Linked DNA regions of Cricetulus griseus. The protein of the gene in region 1 purifies or fractionates together with the protein of each later gene. This does not show direct contact. Links are inferred from orthologs where the notes say so. Each region holds a gene or a part of one and is shown in the gene's direction. Other genes may lie near its edges. The genes, in order: Cdh2, Ctnnb1, Ctnna1, Jup and Ctnnd1.

The links.
Region 2: the proteins of Cdh2 (region 1) and Ctnnb1 purify together in Homo sapiens (affinity purification with western blotting; 18 studies listed by BioGRID and IntAct, with this or other methods). This does not show direct contact. The link is inferred for Cricetulus griseus from reciprocal best matches to the Homo sapiens genes CDH2 and CTNNB1.
Region 3: the proteins of Cdh2 (region 1) and Ctnna1 purify together in Homo sapiens (affinity purification with mass spectrometry; 4 studies listed by BioGRID and IntAct, with this or other methods). This does not show direct contact. The link is inferred for Cricetulus griseus from reciprocal best matches to the Homo sapiens genes CDH2 and CTNNA1.
Region 4: the proteins of Cdh2 (region 1) and Jup purify together in Homo sapiens (co-immunoprecipitation; 4 studies listed by BioGRID and IntAct, with this or other methods). This does not show direct contact. The link is inferred for Cricetulus griseus from reciprocal best matches to the Homo sapiens genes CDH2 and JUP.
Region 5: the proteins of Cdh2 (region 1) and Ctnnd1 purify together in Homo sapiens (affinity purification with western blotting; 6 studies listed by BioGRID and IntAct, with this or other methods). This does not show direct contact. The link is inferred for Cricetulus griseus from reciprocal best matches to the Homo sapiens genes CDH2 and CTNND1.

What each region holds. Positions count from the first base shown.
Region 1 is NC_048595.1:219,837,257-219,840,771, forward strand, and holds part of Cdh2 (cadherin-2), read left to right. Parts: intron 1-1,224; coding exon 1,225-1,458; intron 1,459-1,763; coding exon 1,764-1,997; intron 1,998-3,515. UniProt on the Homo sapiens protein: Calcium-dependent cell adhesion protein; preferentially mediates homotypic cell-cell adhesion by dimerization with a CDH2 chain from another cell. Cadherins may thus contribute to the sorting of heterogeneous cell types.
Region 2 is NC_048597.1:228,008,207-228,011,721, forward strand, and holds part of Ctnnb1 (catenin beta-1), read left to right. Parts: intron 1-712; 5' UTR 713-766; coding exon 767-779; intron 780-1,125; coding exon 1,126-1,353; intron 1,354-1,513; coding exon 1,514-1,767; intron 1,768-1,884; coding exon 1,885-2,123; intron 2,124-2,213; coding exon 2,214-2,415; intron 2,416-3,504; coding exon 3,505-3,515. UniProt on the Homo sapiens protein: Key downstream component of the canonical Wnt signaling pathway.
Region 3 is NC_048595.1:202,375,344-202,379,546, reverse strand, and holds the start of Ctnna1 (catenin alpha-1), read left to right. Parts: upstream 1-1,392; 5' UTR 1,393-1,541; intron 1,542-4,203. UniProt on the Homo sapiens protein: Associates with the cytoplasmic domain of a variety of cadherins. The association of catenins to cadherins produces a complex which is linked to the actin filament network, and which seems to be of primary importance for cadherins cell-adhesion properties.
Region 4 is NC_048600.1:113,441,796-113,445,310, reverse strand, and holds part of Jup (junction plakoglobin), read left to right. Parts: intron 1-977; coding exon 978-1,237; intron 1,238-1,428; coding exon 1,429-1,667; intron 1,668-3,515. UniProt on the Homo sapiens protein: Common junctional plaque protein. The membrane-associated plaques are architectural elements in an important strategic position to influence the arrangement and function of both the cytoskeleton and the cells within the tissue.
Region 5 is NC_048599.1:90,880,162-90,884,144, forward strand, and holds the start of Ctnnd1 (catenin delta-1), read left to right. Parts: upstream 1-1,178; 5' UTR 1,179-1,485; intron 1,486-3,983. UniProt on the Homo sapiens protein: Key regulator of cell-cell adhesion that associates with and regulates the cell adhesion properties of both C-, E- and N-cadherins, being critical for their surface stability.

The sequences.
Region 1 (3,515 bases):
GATTCATAAAGTAACATGATGCTTGTTGGTTTTGAGGCACAACCAGGCTTCTCACTTAACGAGGTGTATAGCTTCTAATTGGAAGAGTATTTGCAATGAGAGAACTGAGCTGTCTGGCACTGTGAAGCCACACAGGTGAACCTTACTAATCACAAGGCAGAAGAGAGAACTTGGCTGGGCCTTAGTTTCCTTATTATAAATGGCTTCACTGTCACCTGCTTTGTTAAGTTATCTTAAAGCAATAGTACATGTAAACATTACTCAAGCGATCAAGCAACTAGTGTTGATGATAGCATAAGGAGAGTAAAACACTATTCCCATCAGTGCTTCTCTCCTCTGATCTGTTGTGTTTCTTATATTCTTTGTCCACTGCCTTCTCAGGACTGTGGATATGTACACCTTCCTAAGTTCCATGACCTTCAGCCATATTTCTGGGAGTCAGTGTATGAAACTTTATAAAACACATATAAATAAAAATAATAGGTATATAAATGCACACATATAAAACTTCTTAGATATATGTGGATATTATAATACTGCAGAAGCCAGACTAAGAAATCACATGTGCTAGGAGAGATAGCATTACAGGGTCAATAAGAACAGGTTTGCAGTCAGGCAGAGCTGGTGTACACAGTTTTGTATACTCTAAAGTATGCCATGAGCAGTTTGCAGAGACTGAGGTCTCTCCCCTGTTTAAAACTCCTGCATAGTAATACCATGCATTAGTGTATAACGAGCAGCCCCAGTCCTTTCTTGTGTGTGGTTGACTGAGTATATGTTCCCAAGACCAAGTCTTCTCTCAGCTGCCTGTAAATAGTTGTCATTATTACAGCTGTTCTGAGCTTTTGGAACTCTCCTCCAATCATACATGTCCTGGATCTCCACCAAGAGGCTGGGGTCCATAATCTCAGGAGCCCCCCTGCTCCTCTGGCATTCCTCAGTGTTCTGGAGGAGTCCAGTGTTCATGAGCCCAGAGTGATGGACAGCTAGAGAAGGGAAGGCTTGAGCTCCATGCTCAGCTTGAATAGCTGCACCAACAGTTCAGCGTAATCCTAGCAGAGAAATAAGAATCGAGCTTGTTCCAAAGCCTACCCATTCAGCTCCTGTGACAGTGAGCATTTTCCCATATGATACAGTGATAGGGACAAGAGACTTCAAAAACATAAGAATTGAGCCTCGGCTGAGACATTGTTGCCCTAAACTATGACTTTTCTCTCCTTTTAGGAATTCCTCCTATGAGTGGAACGGGAACACTGCAAATCTATTTACTTGATATCAATGACAACGCCCCTCAGGTGTTACCTCAAGAGGCTGAGACTTGTGAAACTCCAGAACCCAATTCAATTAACATCACAGCACTTGATTATGACATTGATCCAAATGCTGGGCCATTTGCTTTTGATCTTCCTTTATCTCCAGTGACTATTAAAAGAAACTGGACCATCACCCGACTTAATGGTAAGAACAGGTTCATTACTTGAACGGATGTGTAGTTAAGTAGTTTGGAACCCTGGTATAGGAAATTAATTTTACATACTTCATAATCTTCTCATTAAATATATTTTAAGTGCTATTTAAGGGTTTAGATCAGATATTAAAAGACCTTGAAACACAAAACAATTTTCACAATACAGCAAAATTGTGAATTGTTTAATGGGGTACAGTTATGAAATACATTCTCAAAAGTAGTGGATGTTTTTTCTTTAAATCTTACTAGGTACTGACTGTCAAATTTGTTTTCTTTTTCTCTCTTTTCTGTATAGGTGATTTTGCTCAACTCAATTTAAAAATAAAATTTTTGGAAGCTGGTATCTATGAAGTTCCCATCATTATTACAGATTCAGGGAATCCTCCCAAGTCCAATATTTCCATCCTGCGTGTGAAGGTTTGCCAGTGTGACTCCAATGGAGACTGTACAGATGTGGACAGGATTGTAGGTGCCGGGCTGGGCACTGGTGCCATCATTGCTATTCTGCTTTGTATCATCATCCTGCTAAGTGAGTACTTTGTCCTGGAGGCTGTGATGCCATCTACTTCTAGGATGCTCAGGAAGGGACCACATCAAAATAACTGAGCAAGTCTATTGGACTCCTGAGCACCATGCCGTCAATATAATGCAAGCAGACAAAGTCCCGTTAGCCTAAAAGCAACAAGCATCATTTAGAGTGCTGACTTGTTTTCAGCAAGCTGCTAGGATTGTGTTCCCACACCTTCTCAATCACTTTTTGGTGCTGATTGCTGGAGGCCACAGGAAGCCCTTTCCTCAGAGAAATGTTAAGCAGTCCTAGCTTGGAGAACTTATCTTGACTTGAGTATGAATTATGGCACATAATTGATGATTTAGCAAAATAGGTGTATTGCTTTCCTTCACTTCCCTGCATATAAAGTACAGTCAGAAACCTGCTCCAGTCATGGGAAGATCAAGGTATTTGTTTCTGAAGGGCTGCACAAAATAGTGAGATTATACGTCACACACAGGGCATTTGATAGTAGAAATGATTACATAGCTCCGTAAATCGTCTGTCTTTAGCATAAGTGTAGATTAAGGAATTTCTTCTTTTTAAGACACTTTGCATTCTTTGGTTCAGTGGAATGCAAGAAATTAACCACCGGAAAGTACTTTAAGAATCACTTCTAAGCATTCAGGTTAAAAGAATAAATTGCCTGGGCCCAGTATTTTATTGTAGAATAGCAGCAGGACTCAGTTTATTGTGTGATCACGCTATGCACCAATCACTTTCTTGAAAATGTTGGCCATTTCCTTTATGTTTTCTCCATTTACAAGTGTTCTGGTAATTTAGAATTCCATCCCTTTTTTTTCTAAGCAATTACTATAGAAGCCTGAGCATTTTTTACTTCCTGTGTGGAGACTGCTTTGGCTATAATTTGAAACCTGCATGCTATACTAATAATCCACTTGCTAGATTTAGCCCTGAACAATGGCAAATGAGATCATGTATCTGGCTTTAAAGGGAGGATATTTACTTTTATGGCCAATAATAAAAATGTGCTCAAATAGGAGTCATTAAATCTTTTTGTTTCAGGATGAAAACTGATATGCTCAGATTTTAGACAGAATTTATTCCTAGATCTGTGTTCAGGAAGGGGGAGGGGGTGTTCACTCTCAACCACGCCAGCCTTATCGAGACAAACATAGGGATGATAGATTCAGCCATGACAAAGTGACACTAGCATTTTGAAGGAAAATGAATTGGCACTGATTTTAACATCAACTTGGGAGAATTTATGGTTTCAGACCTGGCATTGAGTGTGAAGGATGAAAGCCTAATATTATTTCAGTGCTCAAACCAATCCCCATGCCTTCATAGCTGCAGTGGGGTGGGGATGAAAATGCAGAATAGCATGACAGAGAAACACCAGCCCCTACAAGTCAAAAAACAACCCAGAATCCAATTACATACCCAACCCTCATTTCCTGCCCTAGCCATCTAAACAAACACTTGTTCCCAGGAGAAGTGCCTTTCTCTGGGAATTTGGGAGTATAATGATGAATG
Region 2 (3,515 bases), on another chromosome or scaffold:
TTGTGTTAGCTGTAGTGCAAGATGACCCTGCTTGGGACACACATTAATAATGGAAATCTGTTCATACAGTACCTAGAGACCACGAACCCCAAGCTTCCATCTGGTTCTTAGTGATTTGATATTTTTCTTCAATATTGTACAGTAAAACTAAAATGCAGACATTACTTAGACTAAAATTTACCTGTGAGAAATGTTACATTCTGTTGTTGATCCTAGGGGCAACTGCACCAGTTGCCATGGTGTGTACATCACTGCTTGAACTCATACAAATCTTTTGATAAATGTATTTCTATTTGTGCTTCAGACTTTGACTTGACAAGTAATTTTGCTTCTTAAATCGCCATTCTGATCAGTGTTATATCAGCAAAAACAACTGATTTGTTTTATAAAAATTTGGTGTTTTTTAAAAACTCCACTGTCTCCATGGCCAGCCCAGTCTGAGTGTCTTTAGCCTTCAGGAATTCACAGAGCAGTTGAAATTTGAATATTGTTCCTTTTGCTGGCTTTCATGGGAGAGCAAAGGAGTTGTTCTCTCTCAGCACCTGTGTGTCTGCTGAGACATGGCCTTCACTCAGAAGGTCAGTGATGGTGGAGCTGTGTTTCAGGGTCTGTGTTTTCAGTGTATCTCATGCTTTTGGTTTGTGTTGGTGGGACATATAACACATGTGGCAGGCATCTGCTTAAATTTTAATGAATTGATTTTTCTTTTCAGGATTATCTGAAGCTTAGTGTACAGCAGCTGTGACACCACACTCGTGCGTGGACGATGGCTACTCAAGGTCTGTGCCCCGGGGAGCTGCTTGTGGCTTCTGTATGCTGCCTTAGAGTCCCTGCTGCTCTCTTGCCCCTGCCGGCTTTGGTTTGCCAGCCTACCTGTTGCTGTTCTGCTTACTACTACCAGCTTGGTGAAATAATCAGCAAGCTACCCGTGGGAGTCTAGCTTGAGTGATTCTGGAACTTGAATGCCACTGGGTTGCCCCTGTTCTACCATGGAGCACACACTGGCTATCATTCTGATCTCCTTGGTTGCTGAAATACGTTTCTAAATGTATTTCAATGGGTCATTGTCATGGATATTTTATTCAGGTATCATTTTCAGTGCACTAAATTGTTTTGTTTTTACAGCTGATCTAATGGAGTTGGACATGGCCATGGAGCCGGACAGAAAAGCTGCTGTTAGTCACTGGCAGCAGCAGTCATACTTGGATTCTGGAATCCATTCTGGTGCCACCACCACAGCTCCTTCTCTGAGTGGCAAGGGCAACCCTGAGGAAGAAGATGTGGACACCTCCCAAGTCCTGTATGAGTGGGAGCAAGGTTTTTCCCAGTCCTTCACTCAAGAGCAAGTGGCGGGTAAAAAGCATTTGTGTGTTTAAAAGCTAGAGTTGGGTTTCTTAGCAAGGGTGTGTGGTGGCAGAGACACACAGGCACAAGTGAAAAGCAGAGGAAAGTCGGGTGCATTGTTACTTAGCACTTAGGACAGTGAAGTCTCACATGGATTTTCCTTTCCCAGATATTGACGGACAGTACGCCATGACTCGGGCTCAGAGGGTGCGAGCTGCCATGTTCCCTGAGACCCTAGATGAGGGTATGCAGATCCCGTCCACACAGTTTGACGCGGCTCATCCCACCAACGTCCAGCGCCTGGCTGAGCCATCCCAGATGCTGAAGCATGCCGTTGTTAATTTGATTAACTATCAGGATGACGCGGAACTTGCCACACGTGCAATTCCCGAGCTGACAAAACTGCTAAATGATGAGGACCAGGTAAGCAGTTACACAGCTTGCTTCCCGTTTACTTTGAGGGAAACTGAGAGGGTGACGATGGCTGTTCGATGTCAGTATTTGGAAACTAATGGTGCTTCTTCACCCCCTGTACTCTAGGTGGTAGTTAATAAAGCTGCTGTTATGGTTCATCAGCTTTCCAAAAAGGAAGCTTCCAGACATGCCATCATGCGCTCTCCTCAGATGGTGTCTGCTATTGTACGCACCATGCAGAACACAAATGATGTAGAAACAGCTCGTTGTACTGCTGGGACCTTACACAACCTTTCTCACCACCGTGAGGGCTTGCTGGCCATCTTTAAATCTGGAGGCATTCCTGCTCTGGTGAAAATGCTTGGGTAAGAAAGTGGTCGGTCACATAACCAGAAAGGTGGGAAGAAGAAGGGTGCCAGTATTGGCTTGACAAAGGTTCTTTTCTTTCTTCTCAGGTCACCAGTGGATTCTGTTCTGTTCTATGCCATCACGACGCTGCACAACCTCCTGCTACATCAGGAAGGAGCTAAAATGGCGGTGCGCCTAGCCGGTGGACTGCAAAAAATGGTTGCTTTGCTCAACAAAACAAACGTGAAATTCTTGGCTATTACAACAGACTGCCTGCAGATCTTAGCTTATGGCAATCAAGAGAGCAAGGTAAAGTCATGAAAGCTGTTAGCATGGGGCACAGAGGCTCCACAGGCTCCAGACTCACTGACCTGCCCTTTGTGTGCACCCTAGAGGAGCTGCACTCTGTCCTCTCAACATTGAGTGTCTGTGTGCACCGTGCTGTGCATCGCACTGAGTGGACACGAAAAGGCCTCCAGAGTCTTTACCCTTGAGATAATTGCCAATCTGACTAGAAGGAAGGGGTTCAGTACACAGAAGAAACATTGTTCTGAGGGCCTTGTGGAGATGCTTGAGAGGCAGTGAGGTGTTTATAGTAGGTGGAGGCAGGTGAGAGAGAGGAAGGCATGTAGGGAAGCCCTGAAGGGGAAGGAGGGTGGTGTGGGTGGGGCTTTCAGAGTATAGTGCTTGAGAAAGTTTTGGGGTAAGGCTGTAAACACATAGTCTGGGTAGACCTTGTGAGGCTTGTAGGGCATACCAAAGACCAGGTGATGTAACTTTGAGCATAGGTATGAAATAGATCTGCTTGTGGAAATGTTTTCTGCAGTGTTTTCAGAAGGTCAAGGGCAGAGGCTATGGGCTCTTAGTGCCCATTTTCAACTGGCAGTTCTGACAACTTTCACTACTACAGGCAAACATGGTTGCTTTTCATATTCTTTTTCTTTATGTTCCATTTGGGGAGATGGCCAGAGTTGGTGTTTTTTTTTTTTTTTTTTTTTTCCTCTAATGGTTTATTTCTTATTAGTTTACGTGCATTGATGTTTTGCCTGCATGTGTGTCTTGGTCGGGGGTGGTATGTCCGATACACTGGAACTGGACTTAAGAGACAGTTGGGGATGCTGGGAATTGATTGAGTCCGGGTTAGTAAGTAGTGCACAAGTAGTGCTCTTAACTACTGAGCCATCTCTCCAGCCCAAGTTGATGTATTCTTGAAAGTGTTGGCATGCCTGGACTTGAGCAGAATACTGTAGTATAGAAGTCACATACCTAGGACCCCCCAGTTTGAGACCTTGCGTCAGAGAGGTCCAGAGATACACTTTGATGTGACACAGTAACTTGCTGATGGGTTCCTCTCCAGCATTTCTGGAGTTGTATGACACTAGTTGTACGTCTTCCTAGCTGATCATCCT
Region 3 (4,203 bases), about 17 Mb from region 1:
ATTTAATGGAGATCCAATTTCCAATTACCTTTCTAGAGGTTTAGTCCATGGTGGGAAGCATGGCAGCATTCAGGCAGAAGGATCTGAGAGTTCTTATATCTTGATCAGCAGGCAACAGGAAGGAGTCTGTGTCCTGGGGTTAGGTTGAATATAGGAGACCTGAAAGTCCCCCCCCCCCAGTGACACATTCTCTCCAATGGGGCAACGAACCCACACCCAGTAGTGCTCTTTGGGGGGCCACTATCTTTCAAACCACCAGAGTCAAAACCCCCAAACTAGAAACAAAAAGCATGTAATTGGACAAGAATGGCCTTTTTTGTTTGTAGTGCTGAAGACTGAACCCAGGGCATAGTAGGCATCTCCAAACCACTTTTCCTAGAATTAAAATTTATTACTTTGTGTGGGTGAATATGCCACCTGCACCAGGGTGGAAGTCAGAGGTCAACTCTGTGGCCTTCATACTCTTAGTACGTCATTGTTGGTAGAGGGCAAACATTTTTACCCACTGATCATCTCTCTCATCTGCCCACTCTTTAAGAGGCCCCAAACCAAGTGTAATGGTGCAGGCCTATAATCTCAGCAGCTGGGAGGTGAGCAGGAGAATCAAGAGTTTAAGGCAAGTTGGCACTGGCCACCCAGCCCTGCAACCTGAGTTCAATCCCCAGGACCCACATGGTGAGAGAAAACCACAGATTATCCTGATTTGTACACAAGCACAAGCTTTGTGCCGCCCCTCGGCCCAAATGCAAAAAAAAAAAAAAGTTTATTCTTGCCGACATAGCCAGTTCAAGACCAGTTTGACCTACGTGAGAACCTACCTCAAAAATAAAACTAAACAAACACCAAAAAACAAAAAAAAAACCCGAAACAAAACAAAACAAAAAACCGTTCTGAGAATCGGATTCCCGTTCCACTGTGCCGGGAGATGTGGAACGTTTACTTGGAGTTGTTTCTCTTCGGGTAAAGCAAGGAGTAGGCTGCCCCCTTTTCTGGGCGCCTTGGACCAGGGGACAAGATGACATTCGCCACAGGAGTGAGACCAGCAGGACCCCGCGGCGTCACGCTGGTCCCGGGACGTCGGACGGGGCGGGGCCTTCCGGGGCCGCGCCCCGAGACTCACCTGAGTTGGGAGCGGTGACTCACCTGCCCTCCGCCCGCCTTCCCCGGCTGCGGGCTGTTCCGTGAGTCGCCGCCCCTCCTTCCCGTCGGGGGTCAGGCTGTGCGCGCCCCGAGGCCGAACGAAAGGGACTTCTGGGGGTCCCAGCCTGGAGTTGCCAGGCTACCATCCCGGAGGGAGGCTCTTCCCCGAAAGCGCCCGCCGCCGCAGGCCGGGACGAGCGGTGTGGAGGCCGCGGGAGGCGCTGGGAAGAGCGCGCGGAGGGAGGTGCCGGGAAGGGCGGGCGGGCGCGGCGCGGGGCGGGCCGGGGGCGGGAGCGCAGGGCGGCCCATTTCCTCCTGGGAGCCGGACGGGCGGGAGACAAAGCGGCGGCCGTCGGCTTGGCGCCTCAGGAGTCGTCCTGCGTTCTCCTCGCTCGCCGCAGGTAAATCTTTGTGCCTCCCCTCGGGGCGCGCGCGGGGCCCCTGGTGGGCCGAGGGTCTCCGCTGGCCGGGGTCCGGGTGACGGCGCAGGCAGGCTCTGGGCGGCCTCCGCCCTGGGGAGCGTCGGGCCAGGGCGGCTTCCCGGAGCAGCCTGGGCCTGGGCGGGCGGAGCCCGACGCTCGGGAAGCGGAGCTACCGCCGCGGCGCCTTCTCGGAAAACTTTCTCCCTCTTTCTAAACTTTGTTCCCCGAGCAGGGCGCGCGCTCGCGGGACGGGCGTCGCGCCTCGGGCCGCCTCCCCCGCTGAGAGGCGACCTCGGAGTGTCTCTGGCGTTCCGGCGGTGGGGTGTTTTAAGGGTCGCGATTGTTCCCTGGATTTGTGCCGGCCGCGCCCCTCCCCCCTTTCTCCCCCTCGCTGAAAGTTGGGCGTTTGCGGGGGCCAGAGGTCGGGGGAGCTGGCATTCCAGTCCGACCCACGGAGTGTGAGAGCCGTAGCTTCCTGCTCTCCAGGGCTCTTGTCCTTTAAGGTGCGCCACACCCGTGTGAACCTGTGGCAAGAAGTTGTTAATCTTTACTTTAAAATTACTCATCCGCGTTCTCTGCCTGACTGGACTGACTTTACACCCAGTTTTCAGGAGTGGCGTTAGGGTCTTGTTACTGACCTTGTGCTACCGAGGGCTGGTCTTGCTAAGTAGCCCAGGATGGCCTGGAACACTCGGGCTCCCTGCCTTAGCTTCCCGAGGGCGGACATTGCAAGCCTGCGATGTCAATGCCCCGCCTTCCTTTAAAAGGAACTTGTTAATGTGTGTAGAACTTGGAGGAAAAATGTTGACTGGATGGGTAGCCTTGGATTGCAAGCAGTGGCCATCCCAGTAATTCAGTTAGCAGTTGGCTCAAATTGACGGTTGATACCCTCTTAAGTTCTTCGTCTTCATAACATTTTTTGTGTGTTTTGTATAGAATGCACAATAATTTATAATGTAAACTCATGCATACATCACTGTATTGTGTATGTGTATTGTATCTTTATGATAGGTGTTTTTGAAAAGGATATTTTGTGTTTAACTGATTCTTAAAGACTACAGGTGGTTGTTACTTTAAGAAACGGAGTTTGTTTTAGTTTACAAAAGGATTGAGCGGGGAAATCATTCGTAGCCTCTGCTCAATTGTTTATACGTCCTGATTCAACTAAGTCAGAAAATAGGTTTTAAAATTACTCTTTGTTTGAGGATCAGAAGTTTCTCTAGTGTCGTATCCTTTTTTTTTTTTTTCCCCTCAGACTGGCTCTCACTATGAAATCCACGCTAGCTTAAGCTTCTTGATTGTTGGGATTCAGACGTGTTCCATACGTAACACCTGTCTGGGTCAAATTTGTGTATAATGCAAACAACAGAAATTCACAGATGCTTGGAGTGTTAATACGTTTATAAGTCTGGGAGTCCTGGAAGGTGGTGGCTTTTGAATTGGGTGAAGCACGAGTTGAAGTCACGTGGCAGGAGAAAGTAGGGGAAAGGCATAAAAGGGCATGTAAGTGTGGGGAATCTGATGTTCTGTTTTTTGTTTTTTTTTTTCTTTAGTTTTCACTCCCTCCCTTTCCTGCATGTAATCTATCCTGAGAACATTGGTTTTCAGCACCAGTTATATAGTACCACCTCCATTCCCATCAGAAACATTTTATATATTGGTTAGAGATGAGGGGTGTCTTTTTTCCTAGTTGAGAATCACTGCCTTGTGCCTTCTCTCATCAACCCCCCTTTCTGCCCTCTGTGGTGTTGGGGAAACAAACCTAGAGCCTTGTATATGCTAGTCAAATAATGTACCATGAGCTGTACAACCCCCCTTACCTCTGCCATCAACCTTAGCTGCTAACGTCCCGCTCCTTTTTTTGGGTTTAGGTGTCTCTCTTGAGCCACATGGGTCTCCTTGTATATCCCACGGCTTCTCAAACCATATCTGATGTGAGACTTAATTCTGTTTTGGAGATCTCAACCAGATGTGGAGAGCCAGAGTAACTGGTACGAATGGTCTTGAATTCTTTTAAAGTCACATTACTGACAGCACAGATAGCCCTGCTTGTTGAAGGTGGTGATAGTTAAGTGTACTGGCTAAAACCTAGACCAGAATAAAGGAATAGGGTCCTTAACAGATGTATATAGCCTGAGCATTGGCACAGTATTTGGAGGACTAGAGGTGTAGAGATGATCTTTGTATTATGAGTACTGAAATAGGGAGGTTTAATAAGGTGGTCAGGGAAGGCAAAGGCCAGGTCACAGATGGCTGTGTGTAGATTTTATTCTAAAGCTGTAAGAAGCCATTCTAGGGCCTTCCATGATCTGAGCAGCTTTTTATTTTTTGTTGGTGCTCAGAGATTTGAATTCTTTCGTGTCTAAAAGCAGGGAGTTGACTGAGGAAGGTAATGTGGATAAAGGTGATCAGGATGAATGGAGTTGTATTTTGGAAAAGGGGGTAAAGATTGGTTTGGTGATGGGGTGTAGGCCTCTTGATAAAGTTTTTTTTTTAAGCATTGAACTCTCAGTTATGTCTCAAGATCTAGTGTAGCACGAATTCTAGCAGTCAGCTATCAGGCTGAAAGCTGAAAGATCACAGCAGCAGAGCAGCCTGCCCCTAGAGAGTTCTCACCTCCACCAGTGCTCAGACTGCATCC
Region 4 (3,515 bases), on another chromosome or scaffold:
ATCTTAAACTCATTGTGTAGCCAAGGATGACCTTGAACTCCTCTTGCTGCCACTTATGAAGTGCTTTAATTAATTACATAAGTGTCCCACCAAGCCTCATTTTATTCATTGTTGAGAGTGGAACCTTGTTAGGCAAGCATTCTACCAACTGAGCTACATTTTCAGCTATAGCTGTTAATAATTATTGCTGAGCTGGCCATGATAGCAAGGGTATATGATGTCCCCCATGTACTTGGTAGACTTGAGGCAGGATTACAAGTACAAAGTAAGTTCAAAGTCAGCTTGGGAAACAAAACATTTTTAATTTTTTAAGTGTGTGTGTATTTGCATGTATGTATGTATGTATGTATGTATGTATGTATGTATGTATATACACCAAATGGGTGCAGTACTTATGCTGGCCAGAAGGGAGAAGCCCAAACCTCCTGGAACTCCAGTAAGCTATGGCTTTGAGCCACCATGTAGGTGCTGGGAATGGAACCTTGGTCCTCTGCAAGAGCAGTAAGTGCTCTTAACTGCACAACCATTTCTCCGGCCCCCAATTTTTTTTTTTTTTTTAAGACTGGGAATATAGCTCAGTGGTTAGATGCTTGCTGAGCAAATGTGAGGCCCTACTTTTACTCCCCAGAACTGTACTGCAGAACAATATGCAGTACTACATATATAACAACATATTGCTGTAGACATTTTTTGTAATGATAGTTGTCAGACAAGAGTCTTTTCAAAGCAAGTCATGGCTGTGATCTTAGTTGTCATAGAGTTCCCTGTGCTGGGTGGGCTAGATGGGCCTCATGCTATAAATAAAAGCAATGGCAAAGATGATTTCCCAGAACCTTGTTAGGTATAGAGTCCTGAGTGATGCCCTATACTTTGATGGAGCACGAGGCAGCTTGGAGCCGTGTCTGTGTGGCTTACCTTGCTCTTCAGGGTCCCTCTAAATCTCCTGTAGCTCAGTCCTTGTGTCATTTGTCTTCCAGGTGACCTGGAGTACCAGATGTCCACGACGGCCAGAGCCAAGCGGGTGCGGGAGGCCATGTGTCCAGGTGTGTCAGGCGAGGACAGTTCTCTACTGCTGGCCACCCAGGTGGAGGGGCAGACCACCAACCTGCAGCGGCTGGCAGAGCCATCCCAGTTGCTCAAGTCGGCCATTGTACATCTCATCAACTACCAAGATGACGCAGAGTTGGCCACCCGGGCCCTGCCTGAGCTCACCAAGCTGCTCAACGATGAGGACCCGGTCTGTGAAGGGCCTGGAGGTGGGGTGGGATAAAGTTAGCTGTCCCCAGAGGGAAGGAAGCCATGAGGCTGGCTCCCCACAAAGTGTCTGGCTCATCTAAGCTCTGTGGAAGGATGTCCTGTCCTTTGCCTTCCTTCCCTCTGTGGAGGAGTTGCCTGGACTGTATGCTCAAGGTCTCATACTTCCTTTAGGTAGTGGTGACCAAGGCGGCTATGATTGTGAACCAGCTGTCCAAGAAGGAGGCATCCCGCCGGGCCCTAATGGGCTCGCCCCAGCTGGTGGCGGCTGTGGTGCGCACCATGCAGAACACCAGTGACCTGGATACAGCCCGTTGCACCACGAGTATCCTGCACAACCTCTCCCACCACCGGGAGGGGTTGCTCGCTATCTTCAAGTCTGGAGGCATCCCTGCGCTAGTCCGAATGCTCAGGTAACTTGCTCCTCTGTTGCACAGGCGTCAGGGGCCTCCCAGCATCCTTTTATACACACATGTGAAGCACCACACCCATCCTGGCTCTCAGCTGCTCATAGCCCAACCCAGAGACAGTAACGTAAACAACAGGCTGACTGTTAGGATCTGTAAGTTGTAGCAACAGAATGGTTGAGATTGCCCAGAGGCAGACTCGTACTGAGGGCAGGGCTTTGACAGATGGGTGGATTTGGTCAGCCTTGATCAAGGAGAGGCTATCCTAGCAAGAGAAGAGCATGTCTGAGCCCCACCCGACCATGCGATTTTTTTCTCCTCTTTCCCGGCTGAGATGAGTGGGAGTTCTTTGAGGGGAATTTCACTCCCCTCTGTAGCTGTCACGGGGCCTCTGCTATGTGACCTTACACACAGTAGTGACTCAGCTGTTCAGGGACCTGGTATATAATTAGGACGTGCAGGACCTCAGAGGCGGGAGTGAAGATGCGCTGTGTGCTGATGTCATTAGGACTGCGCTCGGCTGGCCATGGTGGTGCTCACCTTTGATCCCAGTCCTCAAGAGGTAGAGATCTCTATGTATTCCAAGCCAACCTGGTCTATACAGAGAGTTCTAGGCTAGCCAGGGCTGCATAGTGCATAGTGCAAACTGAAAACCCGTCTTAAAAAAAAAAAAAGGAAGAAAGAAAGAAAGAGTGGGACTGGATCTTGAGGGGAGTAGAGACACTGGGTGGGGAGGAGCTGATGGCTCAGTCAATGAGGAGTTTACCTCTCAAGCATGAGGACCCAGGTTCAATCTCCAGCACCCATGTAAAAATGCTGGATGCAGTAGAGGGCATTTGCAGCCCCTGCCCTGGGGAAGCAGAGACTGGAGGAAGCCCTGGAGCTTGCTGGCCAGCCAGTTTAGCCTAAGGAGCTTGGGCCAGTTAGAGACCCTGTATCTGAGGAGGGGGATTGTGTTCCTGAGGATGACACCTGAGGTTGTCTTCTGACCTACACACACACACACACACACACACACACACACACACACACACACACACACAAATTAAAAAGAGGGGCTGTGCTCAAGAAAGAATGACACTTTAGGGTATTTCATTTAGATACCTCTGTCAAAAAAGTTACTGGTTATCCCAGAAGGAGCCATTTTAAATACCATAAATACTCCAGCATCTAAGGTATCCTCATTGTCTCCATCTCTTCCTCAAGTTGTTGTATCTGCTAGTCAAAATCCTGCCTCTGTCTTCCCTGCTTTTCGATCATCTGGTTCAGAGAAACCTGACAAAGCTGCATCTTGAATTTAGACTAAATGAGCCAGTTTTTAAATAACGGGGCATTGTTTTAACTCCCATAAAAATTTTAACTGTTTATTATACTGTTGAAAACATACTGTTCATACTGTGTGTCTGTGTGTGTGTCTGTGTCTGTGTGTGTGTGGTGTGTTGGGGTGTGTGTGTGTGTGTAGGTGTATGTGTATCTTCATTAGCTTGCACAAGACTTTGTTTTCTTGGGGAGGGCAAAATATACCATTTCACTCATTGGTGTGAAGATGTTTTCCAAGATTCTTTGTTTAAAATATGTCATCAAAATTTACCTGTCTATATAACATAAATTTAACAAAGTCAAGTTTGACTAGTTTAAGTAAGCTAGCCTTTTCATAATTATATTGATGTTTCTTCTTAAATCTGGACTGTTGTGGTGTATCTACAGTATAGTATTCTGTGTCATTGGTGACATTTTATTTTTGTTTCTGTAATGCATTAAGAAAATGCAGTCCATGGTGTAAAATTGTACATATTCCTTAAATCCCTAATAATCTGTACTAAATATATGTACAAAGAACAAAAAAAAAAAAAG
Region 5 (3,983 bases), on another chromosome or scaffold:
GCCTTATGACCTAGGTTTGATCCCCTGGACCCATACAGAAGAAGGAGAGAAGGGATTCCTGTAAATTGTTCTCAGACCTGAACATGAGTGCTGTAGTACATGTATGCCTATGCACATATTTAAACACAGATACACACATTTAATTTAGAAAATATAAAGAGAAACCTTCCAATTCATTATCTTTGTTTAGTAATTAGTAAGTAACTGATACTAGTCTTACCAAGTGGTAATATGCCAGCATTCCCATCACTGAGAAGGCAGAGGCTGAGGGATTTTAAGTTTGAGGCCAGCCAGTGGTCCAGTGAGACCTTGTCTCAAACAAAACAAAGCAACAATAAGCAAAACCCCTTCCCCTCCTAAATCTTAAACAAATCTAGAGGAAAATTCCTGTATGTTTTATTTAGGTCAAATAAAAATGCCAGGTAATTTTGAGTTCACAAATAGCATTCCCTTAATTATTTTAACTATATTCTTATCTATTCTAAACTTTTTGTTTACTAGATTCTGTCTATTGTACCAGGCAAACCCACATTTCTTTTATGGAAAGACAGTGGTTTTCCTCAACAGCTCTGTGGATTCTGCTTCCTTTTAGTTTAAAGCAGAGAGGCTAACAAGCTAGCAACAAGCCTAAGCATTTATTTTTCCTCATAAACGCTAATGCAATTAAATCAAAACAATGAAATTGAGAGTTTGCCTGAGATATTTCCTACCATCCCAATCAACAGTCCTGTTTCTGGGATTTCTCTCTCCTTCCTTCCTGGCTTCCATTGGGAAATGCTTTGGGGAAGAAAGCAAGAAACCAAACAGCAGCAGGCAAATAAAGTAAGCTCTTTTCCGTTTACCCACCCTGATAGGTAGGGGAAGGGAGCAAGACCCTCATCAAAGAGAACTGAGGCTTAGGCGTGCCGTTCTAAAAAAGCTTTGTTATCTAGCACCTCCCACCTCCCCCTGAGCTCTGCAGTAATTCCTTGGAGATTGTATAGTCTCCGCTTTAAATATAAATATATATATAATACATATATTTAAAACTTCCTTGTCTTTCTCTCTCTCTTTTTTTTAATTTCCTATAATAAAGTTTCCTATTGGATAAGGTCAGCTCCCTGATTTATGCCTGGCTCCTATTGGAAGCTCGCAGGGGCTGACATCACTTAGGAAAGCTAGGGTAGGGCTGCCAGATCAGTTTGTCACCACCCAGGCTCCCTTGCCTTTGGCTGGGTGCAACTTCCATTTTAGGTGTTGGATCTGAGGGGAAAGAGAGAGAGAGAGAGAGAGAGAGAGAGAGAGAGAGAGAGAGAGAGAGAGAGAGAACAGGAGGACGGGAGGGAGACAGAGACAGACACGGAGGGAGAGGGAAAGAGGCAGGAAAGATCCTGAAAGAGGAAGAGGAAGAGGTGGCCTGAACCTCGCTGGATTGTCTTTCACAGCACACCGGTGAAGCTTTGGGTTTGTGTCTTAAAGGATTGGCTTTAGAAGTCCACATTTGAGGTGTGTGTTCTTTTCATTTTTTCCTTTTATAAAAATGTGTGTATAACTAGTTGGGAAAAGGATAACCCAAGTAGAATTTTTGTCTTAATGGTAACTGGAGGGAATTTAAAAAAAGGCAAGAGAGCCTGTTAAAGCTGACGGTGAATTTTAGCCAGTTATTTTTTCTACTTTTAATGCTTTGGATGTATTTTGGTATTTTATTTATGTTAAGGAAAAGGTAAATGTACTGGACCTAATACCGGAAGCTGGTTTAGAACCGGGAGGTAGAAGTTGTGTAAATTACATTTTTGTGTGTACTTTTATTTCATTTTATTTTATTTTTCTGAATTAAGCTAACATACTTCTGTTTTCAGAGCTCAAAAAGTTGTTTTCTTGGCATGTTGTGTGTGGGTTGGGAAAGGAATTTGTCCTGGTCAGGAGAAAGTTGTATAGATGGCTCTTACCATGTTTCAAAACTTTCAGCCCCCTCACCTTTGAATCTGTGGCAGTAGAAAGTTGCAGGGAGCTTTAGAGCTTAAATAGTATTCATTGTTTTTTTCCTCCTGAGTTCGAACGGCCCAGATGCTTTTCAGCTCTGCTCTTCCTGGGTGGATCCCTTACTTTTCCAGGTGAGGTGGGTGGGAGGGAGCCTAGCCTGTTAGTAGGAACCCCTTTGCTTTGCCTTGAAAAACAAATGGATCTATGTTAACTGAATTGCCACCACTTTTTTTGTTTTTAAGCCTAAAAATACTTTTGATGGCAGAGATTTGTGAAGGTGTCGTGTGTTAGACCTGCAAATATGATAATGTTGGTGCTTTAAGGGGTAAGGAATTCTAACCATGCTTTCTGTTGACCAGAGGAAAGCGGCAGAACACCTGAGAGTCTTTTCAGCCCTCTTGGTTTCCAAAAGGGCTGTAGGTTGTGAATGATCAGACGAAAGGGAACCACTTAATGAAAACTTGAGTTTGCAAACCCATTTGAGAAAGCACAAAGGGAATTTTATTTCTAAGCCAGTGGAAAGGTGATTTTTACAGTTGTCTTTTGTTTGTTTGGTTGGTTAACTTACCATTAAGTTAGAATCTGTTAGAGATAAAGGCCTATGACTGCTTCATGTTTTATAATTGGCCTTAAGATTTGTTTGGTTTTGCTTTTTGTACATACGTTCTTGCAAATGTGCTGATCCCAGATAATTATATAGCCTACTCATCAGTAGCTGCAAAATATGGTATTCTTTTAAAATGGGATTCAGTATGGAAATTTGGGCTGGTATAGATATTGCTCTAATTGTAGCAAGATGAGTCTTAATGTGTAAGCTGCTCATTACCTTTAAATTGATACGAATCTTCTGATTTCATAGTCCCTGCCCCCATTCTTTTTAGACTGGAATACTTCCTTGATTTTTTTCTACAGTGAAGACATTCCTTGCAAGATGATTTTGTCCTTGTGAGGTTTGTGGCTTATGGAGGAAACAACTTTTGTTCCCCTTTTCATATAGTTTAGGTGAGGGTTACAGGAAAAGATTTGACATCTAGACTTCAGAATTAAAAGAAGTAGTTGAAAAGAAAGAAAGAAGACAATGTGTACAGTCAGTTGGACCGTATTTCTCATTTCCAGTTCTTTAGTTTTCCTTTGAAATGCTTTTCTCGGGAGGTTTCTTGGTGGGGTCTTTGGAGGGTTGGTCTGTTGCTGCCAGAGTGTCGGTTTCTCGCTCAACCTTTAGGGGGAGGGATGAGAGTCTGAAGGAGGAGTACAAAGGCAGTTTGAAAATAGGTTCTGGATGACTGGTGGTGATCTGGGTCCGGCTTTGAAACTGGGCTTTGTGTAGCTAGGTTCAACAGCATTAGAAGCCAGGACTATTTTTACAAATTAAAGCATTGTTTGGCCTTCGGTGTAATTAATATAGAGCCTTTTGAGGTGATAAGATGGAAGATTTTTATCTTTTACTTCACCTCTGCTGGTTCTTTGAGGAATTATAGGAAAGGGTACAGATAAGTAATCTTCTATTTTGCTATTATTACTATTTGCTGTGCTTTGTATTTTGATTTTGGGGTGAAAATGATGACAGATGAGTATGAATAGTACAGATTTTCTTTCCTTGTTTGCTTTGTATATAATTTGCTTAGTTTCTTTGTTATGTGAGTGAGGTAGTGGTCTGTTTCAGGTGTGTGTGTGAGGCGTCTCATGGCTGGTTATAGTTCCAGTGCCTTTCTTAGGATTGCAGTATGAACAGCCAGAGGGGTCAGAACATGTTCTGTGTTGGTCTAAAATTGGGACTCTTGGAGATTTATTAAAAAAAAAAAAAAGAAAGAAAGAAAAGGAAAGCTTCATGTAATTACATCCCAGCCTTAGGTTTATCAAATAGTTGGCTTCTTAAGGATGGATGAGGCGGGATGCAGGCAAATAAATTTAGTTGGGTCACTATCAATTGCACTAGCAAAATATTTAGCTTTGTACAATTTCTAGTTTTCTATTATGGTCACCCTCTGTTAATACCTTATAGGTCCTCCTGTCCCTGACCC